Linked DNA regions of Rattus norvegicus. The protein of the gene in region 2 interacts with the protein of the main gene of each other region in a biochemical or structural test. Links are inferred from orthologs where the notes say so. Each region holds a gene or a part of one and is shown on either strand. Other genes may lie near its edges.

Evidence for each region. The genes of interacting proteins can lie anywhere in the genome.
Region 1: the proteins of Ep300 (region 2) and Nfkb1 form a complex in vitro, tested with the Homo sapiens proteins (2 studies listed by BioGRID, with this or other methods). The link is inferred for Rattus norvegicus from reciprocal best matches to the Homo sapiens genes EP300 and NFKB1.
Region 3: the proteins of Ep300 (region 2) and Smad4 form a complex in vitro, tested with the Homo sapiens proteins (2 studies listed by BioGRID, with this or other methods). The link is inferred for Rattus norvegicus from reciprocal best matches to the Homo sapiens genes EP300 and SMAD4.

The regions. Positions count from the first base shown.
Region 1 is NC_086020.1:226,690,061-226,694,070, forward strand, and holds part of Nfkb1 (nuclear factor NF-kappa-B p105 subunit), read right to left. Parts: coding exon of another isoform or gene 3,788-4,010; exon of another isoform or gene 529-3,787; coding exon 368-528; 3' UTR 1-367.
Region 2 is NC_086025.1:114,986,187-114,990,811, reverse strand, and holds the start of Ep300 (histone acetyltransferase p300), read right to left. Parts: upstream 2,956-4,625; 5' UTR 1,986-2,955; coding exon 1,892-1,985; intron 1-1,891. UniProt on the Homo sapiens protein: Functions as a histone acetyltransferase and regulates transcription via chromatin remodeling. Acetylates all four core histones in nucleosomes. Histone acetylation gives an epigenetic tag for transcriptional activation.
Region 3 is NC_086036.1:69,525,283-69,529,292, reverse strand, and holds part of Smad4 (mothers against decapentaplegic homolog 4), read left to right. Parts: intron 1-1,962; coding exon 1,963-2,146; intron 2,147-2,812; coding exon 2,813-2,981; intron 2,982-4,010. UniProt on the Homo sapiens protein: In muscle physiology, plays a central role in the balance between atrophy and hypertrophy. When recruited by MSTN, promotes atrophy response via phosphorylated SMAD2/4.

The DNA of each region.
Region 1 (4,010 bases), on a different chromosome or scaffold from region 2:
TAGATGGCTAGAAAGAACACCAGGTGGGGACTGCGATACCTTAATGACAGCGGGGACCCAGCAGAGGGACAGCAGTGACAACACAAAGCAAGTGTAATCCAATAGCAGCTGGAAAAGCTCAAGCCACCATACCCCAAGCCACACCGAGTGCAGCCGTGATTGCTAGACACCATCTGTATATGACAACTAAATTTCATTTCAGAGCCAAGAAAGGAAGCCAAATTCGGAAGGCCTCGAATGACATCAAGATTGACCCTGCAGGCCGGTGACCTTCCAGCACCTTGGGATGCGTTTTTTGCCTTCTCCTTCGGAACGATATGATGGCCTTTCAGGGCTTTGGTTTACAGTGTGGGGAACCGCCAGCAGGCTAAATTTTGCCTTCTATAGGTCCATCCTGCCCATAATTGTGAGGCATTTTGTTCAGAGATAGCAGTGGGCCATCTCCAGTGAGGGACTCCGAGAAGCTGAGTTTGCGGAAGGATGTCTCCACACCACTGTCACACACGCTGTCATTATCTCGGAGCTCATCTGAGGAGAAAGCACAGATTCATCAGGGGCTGAGCTAGGCCATGGCGAGGCTTTCGTTCTGCCTGCTGTCCTCGTGCCCTTCAACTGTCAACCTCACACTGTCTAGAATCACCTGCAGAAGGAGGTGCAAATGAGGGACCAGCCAGATGAGACTGGTGTGAGGGCATGTCTGAGGGGACGGTCCTGACAGTTAACCGATGTGGGCCACTGTAGACAGCACAGTCCCGAGCTGTGTAAGAAAGCGAGCTCAGCGTGAGCCTCGAGGCTGCCAGCTGCAGTCCTCAATAGTTTCTGACTCAAATTCTTTGAGTTCCTGCCCTGTCATCCGTCAGTGATGGATGACCTGGCAGCTGACAGAAACCCAGAGAGTGTAGTCACAGCACCATACTAGAACTAGAACACCTTCCACAGCGGTGGAAGCGGGGCTCCCTTCCCAGGCTCTGCGGTGGGCTACTGTACGGAAGGATATGCTTCCACCCAGCACACGTCCCGCCCCGTGCCGTCCATGTTGCTTGGCCGTGTGAAGGGCAGGCGCTGTCGAATGACGTTAGGCACCGCTGCAGGGTCAGAGCGGGCCAAGAGTCCATCTTTCTGTTTGTCAGAATCTGCTCTGAGTTCTCTTGATTCAGAATAAACACGTTTTCCTTTTTAAAATGAGGCGTGTTTTCCTAACTGCTCTATTATTTTACTTTCTTACAGCTGGGGAAACTGCTGAACACACGGCAAAATCAAGTCCTCAGAGAAGCAGGAACTAAAAATGACGCCTCTCTGCGCTGAACGGACTTTTAAATAACACGCAGTGCGGAAAATGGTTTTTCTGGTGCAAGACAATGAGGCTGTTTTATTAAAAAAAAAATGTATCTATACTGAAAGCTTATCCCCAGGGATCTGACCAGAGCAGATTATCTCTGTATAGAGCAACTGAAGAAACAGAAGTCCAACACTGACTAAGCAAAAGGCTCGAATCTCGTCACTGAATCTTAGTGTCGGAACACTGAGACTCCATGGCCATGCCTGAGTCCTGTGCCGCTGTTAACTCAGCCAATCAGCTGTCTTTATTTGCTGTTATGTAACGGGGCCTGTGCAGTATTTAGAGGCTTACTCTTTATCACAATGCCCTACAAAGGCGTGTGCTAAGTAAAGGCCTGGCTTCCAGCCTGTGACTTTCTTTGGAGGTGATGCAACTCTTTGAAGGTGGAGCCTCAAAGAAGGAAATTCGGTCATTGAGGGTGTGGCCTTGAAATAGAGCCGGTGCTCTGGCTCCTCCCCATCTCTCTGCACTTCCACACCCCTGGACAATGAGTAGGATTCCTCTACCCCATGCTTCCTCCATGATGAAGGGCTTTGCTCTACCCCGAAGGCAATAGAAATTATAAACTTCGTGCCCAACCAAACCTCTTCTTGTAAGTTGGTCATAACTAGGGAAATGCAATACAATATTTAAGAATTCACTTTGTGTTTGTGGGATGTGTGCACATGTGTGCATGTGGGGAGAGGTCGACATTGTGTGACTTCCTTGGTCCTTCTCCATCTTGTTTTTTTGAGACTGGCCAGTGAGCCCCATGGATCCGCCCCTCTCAGTGTCTGTTCCTCCTCCATGCAGACTACTGGGATTACACATGTTTGTCACCCTCCTGGGCCCTCCCAAAGATACAGTAGAGGTCAAAGTTAGGTTCTCACCCTCACTGTGTTCCTAGCTGCTAAGTATTTAGTTTTTGATTATGATAGGAGCCCCATCACGTCACATCGGTGTGGTGCAGAGGACAGATGGAGGGACGGAGGGGACAGAGAGGCTGACTAGGAGCCACTGTGGATTTCAGGCAAGCATTGAGGATGGGCTGAGCTGGGCATCTGCCATGAGGTGAGGAAACGTTTGGGGTTGAACCTGAGGCACTGGATGCCAGGAAGATTTTGTCATAGCCTGGCTATGCTTTTGACAGACGTGGCCAGTGTGAGTTTGTGCAAGAGTAAGGAGTTGTGTGCAGATGATAAAATTTATTCGACCATAAAGAAAGATAAAATTTGCAGGGAAATGGATGGAACTGGAGAATACTAATCAAGGAAGCCCAGAGACATAAATACCGTTCTCTCTCACGTGCGGATCCCAGCTTCCAACAGTCACGTATGCGTATTTATGTGGGAGTGAGTGTGGGCAGAGGCCAGAGAACTAGAAGGGGCCTTCAGGGGGTGGGAAACAGGCTTTAAAAGGATGTGAGCGTAGGGAGGGTAACAGAACACATGTGAAGGTGGGGAGAGAGATGGGGAGACAGGGAGGAAGAGGGTCCAAGTGGGGACACGGGGCAGGGGCAGGGATGGGGGATGGGAGGCGTGGAGTTGTGAGAAAAAACCAGAACTAAGTATGTATAAAAAGGCTGTAAGGACACCAGTGCACACATACATGAACATGTACACACAGGCCTCATACATGCACAGATATACAGATGTCTCTGCAGAGGAGGAAGCTTAGGACTGGGCCTGCCTATGCACAGTGGTAAGGAGGAGGCAGCAGGGTGGGTGTGGGTGACAGAATGGGTGCGAGGTGACGAAGTCCTGAGTAGACACTGCTAGTGAGGGCTATCAGCTATGACTGCTGCAGCCACAGAGGAGCAGGATGAGGGCCAAATCAGGCAACTTGGAGGAGAGCCTAGGAGAGGTGGGGACCGAACCGGACACCAGGGGTCAGCAGTGAGGTAGGCAGTGGCTTTCATACTCTTCTGAGAATCCTGAACTCAGCTTAAGGATGTAACAAGGAAGTGATGTCTTATTTTTCTCTACATTTCTGATTTTAAAGATGAGAAGTTATATCCTATCAACTAGGTTATCCACAGCAGGTGGGGAAGGAACGGACAGAACAGGACAAAGAGACAAGAATTGGGTATCCAGGGCCTGCTGAAGGTGGTAGACAGATTCCCTGGGGCAGACACCACCTTCTGAGCCCTCCCGCCTGGGTACTGCTAGCTTTCCCTGGTTTCAGTGGAGTTTTGTGGTTAGGGTAGAAAGTGAACAAAAAGAAAGGGTGCTGAAGTTTGGACAAAGCACAGACAGAGTGCAAGACATAATTCAGGGTCTGTCCCAGGATCCATTTGTACAGATGTATGTGGGGGGACGACAGGAAGGCTGTTACTGTGGGGAGACAAAGTCAGGGCCACGAGCAGGGCAGGAGCTGAGGGAAGGAGACTCCCGAGGCGGGGAGGAGGTGGAGGACCCAGGGGTGGTGGCCCGGAAGGAAGGGTCATACAGTATGCATATTTTCTGGGTCCTACTCGTTGTCCTGTGACCCCTGTGGATCTTTCTTAGAATCTTTCTCTAAATTTAACAGGTATGAGAAGCAGTGTCCATTGTTTCCTGGGATTCTAAGTGACACATATGCCAATGTGAGTGTCTGTGGAACTGCCGGTCTGTGTGTACGGGAGCACGGCGGGGACTGAGCGGCATGCCACGTAGGAAGACCTGTCCAGGAAAAGACTAGGGAAAGGAAGTGT
Region 2 (4,625 bases):
GCCTTTAGTCCCAGCACTTGTGAGGTAGAGGCTGGTGATCTGAGTTCCAGGACATCCAGGTCTACACAAAGAAAACCCCAGCTCCCAGCCCCCACCTTCGCCCCCTCAAAAAAGACTCCAGTAATTGCATTCAAAGATATGCAAAGCAAGTTTTGCTTTTTTTTTAAACCATGAGTTAGCCAAAAGCTATACAATTTAGCAAAATACATAAATCAGACCAAGAATGCAATAGTCCACCTGAACAGAAAGGTATGAACAGACTTTAAGATTGAATCACTCAAATCAGAACATCAAAAATTTTCATTTTAAAAAGTTTTCCATACAATATTTCATGTTACTGGTTATGTCAAATTTGGCAACTTGTGAACATATTACAGAAGTACATTTATTATGAGGGTAGGGAATGAAACAAAAATGCAAAGCGAATGTGTCTATAAAATTAATGTCTATGCCTATGAATTTTAAAGACATACTTTTAAAAAATTTCTTTAAGACCTCAGAAACTTTACAGCTGAAATGCTCACATATAACTAAAGTTAGAGCCTTAGAACATTGCCAGACTCATCCTCCTTCCCAACTGTTGCAGCTAGCAAAACTCATGGTTCACAATACAGCTGCTAAAAAAGCAGAGTAAAGCACTAGTTCTATCTTATTTTCATGCCTTCGTCATAAATCCTACTGAGAAACATGGCCCACACGTTCTCTACAACTCGCAGGATACATTTAACTCCATTATACACTCCGCGGGCAGATCGAAGATGTTGAGCCTGTTCTCTGAGTTCAAGAGATGCTTGTAGTAAGGGGGAACATCTTGTGGACTGTCAGATGACCAGTCATTATTCTTCATCATCCTGGCCTCTCAAACAAGTCAGACAGCAAGAGGACCAGGTCGGTGATCATCAGAATAACACTAAACTAACAGTAAGTAGAAAAAAGAACAGACGGTGGAAAGTCTCCCTGCAGGTCTCCTAACAAAGGGGCTGACTGAAGAAAAGAATTCCTTGATCTTGAAAACTGAAATTGCAAAGGTCCAAAAAGTAAATCAAAATAAGCATACAAGCACAAAACCTACTGTACATTTTCAAACTTGTACAGTCACTTTAGTTGGAAGTTCATGACTGGGACTCTTTCAACTTCTTATCTCCATTTCTAAGTACCTAATTCCAGAAAGGCTTCATCTTTTCTCTTTCCCTTCTAAATAAGAAGGGTGACAACAAACTGCAAGGGAAATGCCTCAGGTCTCCTCACCTGATCAAACACCCAGTTTGAGACATTTTGGTTTCACACCAAATAGATATAAAATAAACTGCGGTCCATACTGATTCTTGAGCCAAGGATGGAGAGGGGACTTAAAAAACAGTATTTTGTTGAACTTTACGTTACACTTAAAACCTTGTACTGCACACACCAAGATTTGTCTTCCACCCCCATTCCTTAACAGAAAATCTGCTTCACAGGAGTAAAAACCTTTAAAGGTGGAAAAGCAGAGGGAAAAGAATTAAGTGCAACAGGGGAGAAAGATTTGAAAACCTCATTCGCCAGTAACAAAAAATAGTAAAAGTGCATAAAAGCCCTTACACACAACTGTACCGGCATTTCCCAAATTAAATTGCATGGAGCCGACAATAAAGGTCCATGCAGCTCCCACTTCCAAGCTCTTAATTCCAGAACACACAACCATCTGACATGACATAGTGTTGCAATGAATGTATCAGAAGGCAAAGAAAATGGTTGGGCTGCTGGACGTCTTCAACCAGTCCATTCAAAATCCTTTAAAATTAAACACCGGCCGGAGAAATAGGAAGAGATACACAGAAATACCCTAGAATGAAGGTGCAACCAGCAGAAAAGACGAAGGGAACTATGGAAGGCCGGGAGTCCCGAGACTAACCTGTGCCATCGCTGGCGGACGCCGAGAGGGCCGGAGATGAGAGTTTAGGCCGCTTGGCTGAAGGCGGCCCGGGTTCCACCACATTCTCGGCCATTTTTAATTCTTTCGGAGATACAACCGAGGAAAAAAAACGAGAATCCTGAGGAAATCTCTTCTTCGAAACGGGGTCCCCGCCCCGCTCCTAAGGGTGGGCTCCGGAGCTCCGCCGCCACCCAAGAGGGGTGGGGGAAGTTCCTTTTTCTCTTCGCCTGGTTGCGGTGGCCGGAGAGGGATGCGGACTCAACAGAAATGGTAGGGGCAAGTGCGAGGGGCCGGGCCTAAACCAGGCCGGGAGGAGGGTACAGCAACACTGATCCCACGAGCACGTCCGCTGCAGCGAATTCTCGGGAACTCACAGCTCTACAGACGCAGTCCCCAGCCCGCCACAGCGAGTCCCTGCCCAGCCGAGGTCTCTCGGAGCTCCGCCGCCGCCATCAGCCTCTTCCTCCTCGGCGCTGTCCTCCTCCTTCTCATCGCCACAAGGAGGCGGGGGCGAAAAAAGGGGGAGAGGAGGAGGCGACCAGAGACACTCACCTCCTCCCGGTGCCCCCTCCCGGGCTTGCGCCCCCACCCTGCGAGCCCTCCTCCTCCTCCTGCCGCTGCGCTCTGCGCCGCTGCTGCCGCACCGGCCCCTAATGGCCGCACTGAGCTCACCCGAGCCGAGAGCCAGACTGGCGCCGGAGCCACCTCACATCGCGCAGCGGACAGCGGAGGCGCGGCGACGAAGCCGAGCGTGGAGCTCGCCGGCCCGAAGGGCCAGGGGGGCCGGGCCGAGCAGGGCGGCCCGCCCGCAAGCCCGCGCCGACGCCAAGCCCACCGACGCGGCCTCTCCGCGCGCCGCGCTCTCCGCCTCCACTCGCAAGCCCGTGGAGGAGAAATAAGTACGGCCGCCTCTCTGGCCCTCACGCCCGGCAGCCAGGTGCTGGGAGCTCCCGCCCCCCCCCGGGGGCTCGGCTCGGGGGCCGCCCTGGACGGCGGGCGAAGGCGCCGCGGGGCGCGGGGTTATGTAATGGTCCCCCCTTAGGCGTCGACGCCGGCCCGGGCTGCAGTGGGGGTGTGTGCGGGCAGGAGGGGGCTAGGGGTCGCCTCAGCCTTTGCGCCCCGGGCCCCCAACCACTGTCTCGGTCGCGGCCGCTGCTCTCCGGCCTGGTACCCCCCGCACTCCCTGCTCGCGCAGTTCGCACTCAGCCGGGCGTCCCGCTTGCCCCACTCTCGCCCGGTCCCTCTCGCTCTCTCCTCCCCCCACCCCCCCACAGGCTAGCACACAAACAAGATGGCGGCTGTTGTTTCTTGCCTCTGCCGAATCCTCCTTACAGGATAGCGGTAGCGGCGGCGGCCGGAAATGAGCCAAGATGGGGGGGCGGGGGAGTGGAGAGGGGAGGGGCCGAGGAACCGGGGGCGGGGCGAGGGCGGGGCCTCCTCCTTGCAGCTCACACAATGGGGGAAGCGGCGCCTGGGGGCGGTGCCGGCTCCAATCACGGGATCCGCCCAAGGGCCCAACGCGGTAGGCGCTTCCGCAAACTCCCCCGGCGTCATTCGGTGGCTCCCTTTAAAGGGGAGGTCTTGAAAGAGGGGGGCTCCGGCGTAGACTTAGAACGTATTTTCGGTCGGTGGACACTTAGGTTCCTGGGCTGGGTCTTTGCGCAGAATGTAGTCGGAGCTCTGGCGCTCCTCTGTGAAAATGAGCAGAAACAAGTTGGAGCGCCCGGGTTTTGCCCTCTCCGGTTGATCTTTGGAACTCCATTAAATCCGCCAAGCACCTGTGTGTTCAGGATAGAAACATTCCACACTCTTCATCGCCTTTTCGAAAGGAGCAGTTCATTTCTCAAAGTCACATTGCTAGTCCTTTAAGTTTCCTCTTGAAATGTCTGATTCAAAAACGAAAAATTTGGACTAGGATAATATTGTTAGAAAAATGGGGTGGGGAGGAACCACAGCAGTGGGAGGCTGTTTAGGACTAGACCGTACATGCATTTTTTTTTTTTTTTTTTTTTTTTTTGCCTATTATGTGTCTACACATCCTTACCAGCAACCACTCTTAGAAAAAGAATCCTTGAGAATATTTTTCTGGACCTGCCTGAAACTTCCAAGGTCTTTTGAAGGTATTTCCACCCATCTCTAACAGATGAACTTAATAAAAGAGCACTTTCTGCAGTGCCTTAAATATAAATATGGGAGAGGACAAAAAAATGTCAGGTGCTAAAAATCCATAACTCTAGAAAAGAGTGAGGAAATGCTCCTAAGAAGCTAGTGTTAGAGCAGTCCAATTCGAAGCAAAAAAGTAGGGAGCATGCTTTTAGGGTTCTCAAATTACTGGATTTCTGTGTTTGGGACCCTCAAATATAGGGAAAGTACCAAGGCTGTATGTGACACTGAAGGAAAACTTCCAAGATATTACCTACTGGATGGGTAGTAGGCTTGCCTATTCTTCCTGTGGCCTGAAAAGTTCAGTCACCAGTACTACCAAGAAAATAAAATTTTTTTTCTCAGATTTGTTTTTTAATTATGATTATTTACCTTGTGTGTCTCTGTTGGTATGTATAAATGTTTGAACATATATACCCATGACCCACGTGGAGAGGTCAGAGGACAACCTGGAGAAGTCACTTCTCCTTCTGTACCCATGTTATGGTTCCAAGGATCCAACCAAAAGCTGGGGCTGAGCAATTGTTTCTACACTTGCTGAACCCTCTCA
Region 3 (4,010 bases), on a different chromosome or scaffold from region 2:
TGTCATAGTTAGGGTGTTATTGTGGCAAGAGGGTTAGGAGTTGAGCACATTACATCTGTAGTCAGGAAGCAGTACCTGTGCCCTGCTCCCCTCCTGTTTCAGTCCAGAGTGGTAGCCTCTCTAGACTAGTGCCATTCACATTATAGTGGGTCTCTCTACCTTAGTTATTGACCCAGTATAGAGACTATCACAGACATTCTCAAAGCTTTGTCTTTTAGGTGACTGTAGATCCTGTTGACAGTATTAACCAGCATCCTATAAAGTGTTTTGTTTAGGTTTTTTGTTTGTTTATTTTTAATTAAAATTTTCCATTTTTTCTTTTCTTTTTTTTTTTTTTCTTTTCTTTTTTCCTACATAGCCCTGTTTTTCTTGGAACTCACTGTGTAGACCAGGCTGGCCTTGAGCTAACAGAGATTCACCTGCCTCTGCCTCCGCCTTCGCCTCCGCGCTGGCATTAAAGGTGTACATCTACCACTCTCGGCTCAATTACATTTTTCTCTTGGGAAATTCATTCATTAGTATTATATTTATATTATTTCCTTTTAAGTTTTAAGTGTCATTACTTCCTTGGGAGGGACTTTTTTGTCATGTTAAGTAATGTTTTAGATTGTTGAAAGTTTTGATTCAGATTATTATGTACTATAACATACCATGATACAGAGGAGTCTGCAGACAGAACTGTTACTCCTTTTCTAGTCTCTCATAAATTCCTCTTCTGGGGCCAGTGCAGAGCTTTTTACTCAGGTCCCAACTTTTCGGGTAGATTGTCCCTCAACTTTGTAAGCTGGTGACCTCCAGCCATCTTCTGTTCTGTGACACTCCTCTACCACCCTATCTACACCCCCGTCTGTCCTCCTCCTCCACTGCCTACCCTTCCCCTCTCCTTCCTCTCCCTCCTCCCTCTTCCCCTCCGATTCTCTCTGCAATGTTACTCATGATGTGCATTTCACATTCACTTGTTCATTTGACCTGAACCTGCTTGAGGTAGATCTGTGAGGGACTGGAAACTCTTTCATTTGCTGTTTTCCGTGTATCACCAAAAGATTCTCCTGATAGGTGGTAAATAAATATAAAAGGAAAACAAAAAATTACATGTATGAGTTTCCTTTAATAACACAAACAGAATCAGAAGTAAATAACTACATTTGTAACCCAAACCAAGTGTTGTCTCTTCCCCCACGCCACCTGACAGTCATCACATGACAAGCTAAGTGTGTGCTCAGAGCTGAAGTTGTACTGCTTCACTGAAGCAGTTGCTAGAAATACACCGTGCATACATGGGGTGTGTACGTGGGGCGAATGACCTTTGATTTTTGAGAGACAGTAATCTCCCTGTAAAATAACTACATAATTTTAAGTATAAGCAGGAATATGTTGATTTAGGGACTTTTCTAATTAGGGCCTTTGTTATGTAAAAACATAACAAAGACTATGTATTAGGGCTGGTGTAGTTTTTAAAATTGAAAATTCAGACCACAGAACAGATGTGCAATAGAATGAACTATCATAATAACAGTTTATTTTAGAGTCTGATTGACTTAGTTATGTAGTTTCTCAGGACACGGTTTCACTGTGTAGCCCTGCCTGTCCTGGAGCCCTTCTTTGTAGAGCAGGCCTATCTCACAGAAATCTGCCTGCCCCTGGCCCCTGGCCCCTGGCCCCTGGCCCCTGGCCCCTGCCTCCCAAGTGCTGGCATGCGCCACTGCCACCCAGCTGGAGTCTGATTTCTGATGTTGTTAAGTTCTCAGGTGACTTGGTCCTTAGAGTGTCAGGGTATAAGTACTGTGAGTATAATGTGGAAATCACTGTTCTTTAAGTGTACTACGTTCTTTTAGTAGACTTCTTTCATTTCCTTACCCCATTACCCCTTCATCTTGGTTTAGTTTTGTTTGGTGTAGTCAGCGCCTCCCTCCCTAATACCTGTCACAGGGGTGCATGTTCCTTTTCCTTTGTCTTCTGCAGCTCCTGAATATTGGTGTTCCATTGCTTACTTTGAAATGGATGTTCAGGTAGGAGAGACATTTAAAGTCCCTTCAAGCTGTCCTATTGTAACTGTGGATGGATACGTGGATCCTTCTGGAGGAGATCGCTTTTGCTTGGGTCAACTCTCCAATGTCCACAGGACAGAAGCTATTGAGAGAGCAAGGTATGGTAAAAATTGAATAGTACATTAACTTTTATTCAAGACTATTGTTTTTCTATGAATAGGAGTCTTAAATATAGAGTTAAGGTCGTTTTCAATACTTAGAACTTGTGAGCTTCCATTTTAATTGTAGGTACTTGCTAAATATAGAGGTAAAAAAAAAAGCAAGCTTTCTTTGCTTCATAACTATGCTTTCTGTCTCTGCTATCCCATTCGACAGCTGGTAATCATAAATGGCTTTTGAATACTTGAAGCATTGCTCATGTGAGTGAATAGCTGAATTTACATAGATCTTAAATGGCTTTGTGATAGAAGTGATATAGGGCTGGAGAGAGGGTCAGTCATTAAAAACATGCTACTGTCTGAGTAGAGTTCAGTTCTCAGCACCACAACTGCCTGTAACTGGAGCTCCAAAGGGTCTGATGCCAACCTCTGACCTTCATGGTGCCCTCTCCCAAAACACACAGAATCTTAAAACTATAGAATTTACATCACTGTGTTATTTTGGTTAAATGAACTTTGTATGAGAACTATTATATAGTAAGTACTGTGTAAGAGTTGTTAACAATGGCTGTCTTTGAGGTGTTGTCTTACAGTCTTTGTTCTGGCTGTGCCCTGAGCTGAGACAGGCTGTAACGAGGTGAATGTGGCTCTGTCTTTCCTCCTGAGGTTGCACATAGGCAAAGGAGTGCAGTTGGAGTGTAAAGGTGAAGGGGACGTGTGGGTCAGGTGCCTCAGTGACCACGCCGTCTTCGTGCAGAGTTACTACCTGGACCGTGAAGCTGGCCGAGCACCTGGTGACGCCGTCCACAAGATCTACCCGAGTGCGTATATAAAGGTCAGTCCTCTTTACGTGTAAATATTTTAGGCTTACAAACCTCTGTTGCTTGAAGTCTGGAAACAGAGGTGAGGAAGTAGAAGGCTGTGTGAGTTTGACCTGTTTTGTCCAGAGGAGGAGAGACTGCTGTAGTGGGCACAGTCACTGGACGGCAGGAGAAGGCCCCTGAGTTCACGGCATCTGGGCTTGTGAGTCTCAGGCCAGCCTCGGCTGCCTCCGTCTTAACAAGCGGCAGCTCCACCACAGCAGCGTGCGCTCCTGCTCGGGTTCTATGCTGAACTGGGAGCAGCTGGCTCGTTTTGTGGTCCTAGGGTTTCAGATTTTCGAAGTCATTTAGAGTTAATACATAAATTCTTGAAAACATTGACTAAAAATCTCCAAACCTATATTCTAGAACACGAAATTGGTGAAAAATTAACATTTCATTTCGGCCAGTGTCTAAGAGTTTATGGAGGACTGCTGTAAAGTTGTGTCAAGGGATGGAGTGTCTCATCCCTTCGTAAAACTGCAAATTACGATGCTGAGAAACAGATTCCTTTTTATTTTTACATATTAAGCACGGTTCAATTTTATTTTTAACACTTGTTCTTTTGGGAAGAAAAATATAGGTGCAGTGAGTTAATTGTATTTTATTTGAGATTTTTCATCCTGAGCTCCTTTCTTACCAGCAGTCATACATGGTGGGACTGAGTGCCTTAACACTTCTTTAGGAAGGGCTTCAGCTACAGAGAATGTAGCACTGTAGATACAGAGCGTGTGCACAGAAGGGGAGAGGCTTCCGGTAGCTAACCGGCTCCAGCCTTTCGGTTACAGTTGTGAAGGATGCCTGTGGCTTCCTTAGCAGGTTTTGGAGTGTTTCATTCCATATCTCTGCCTGGTTTTGAATTCTTGAGGACATATATGATCCACCGTCCGGCTTCTGTTGTGAAACTTGGAAGCATACTGAGTGTGGAGGAAGTGACCACGTGGGCCTGTGTCCTTATGGACGTGACAGCTGATCTGACCAGTCCCTGTTGTTTCTGTCGTGTT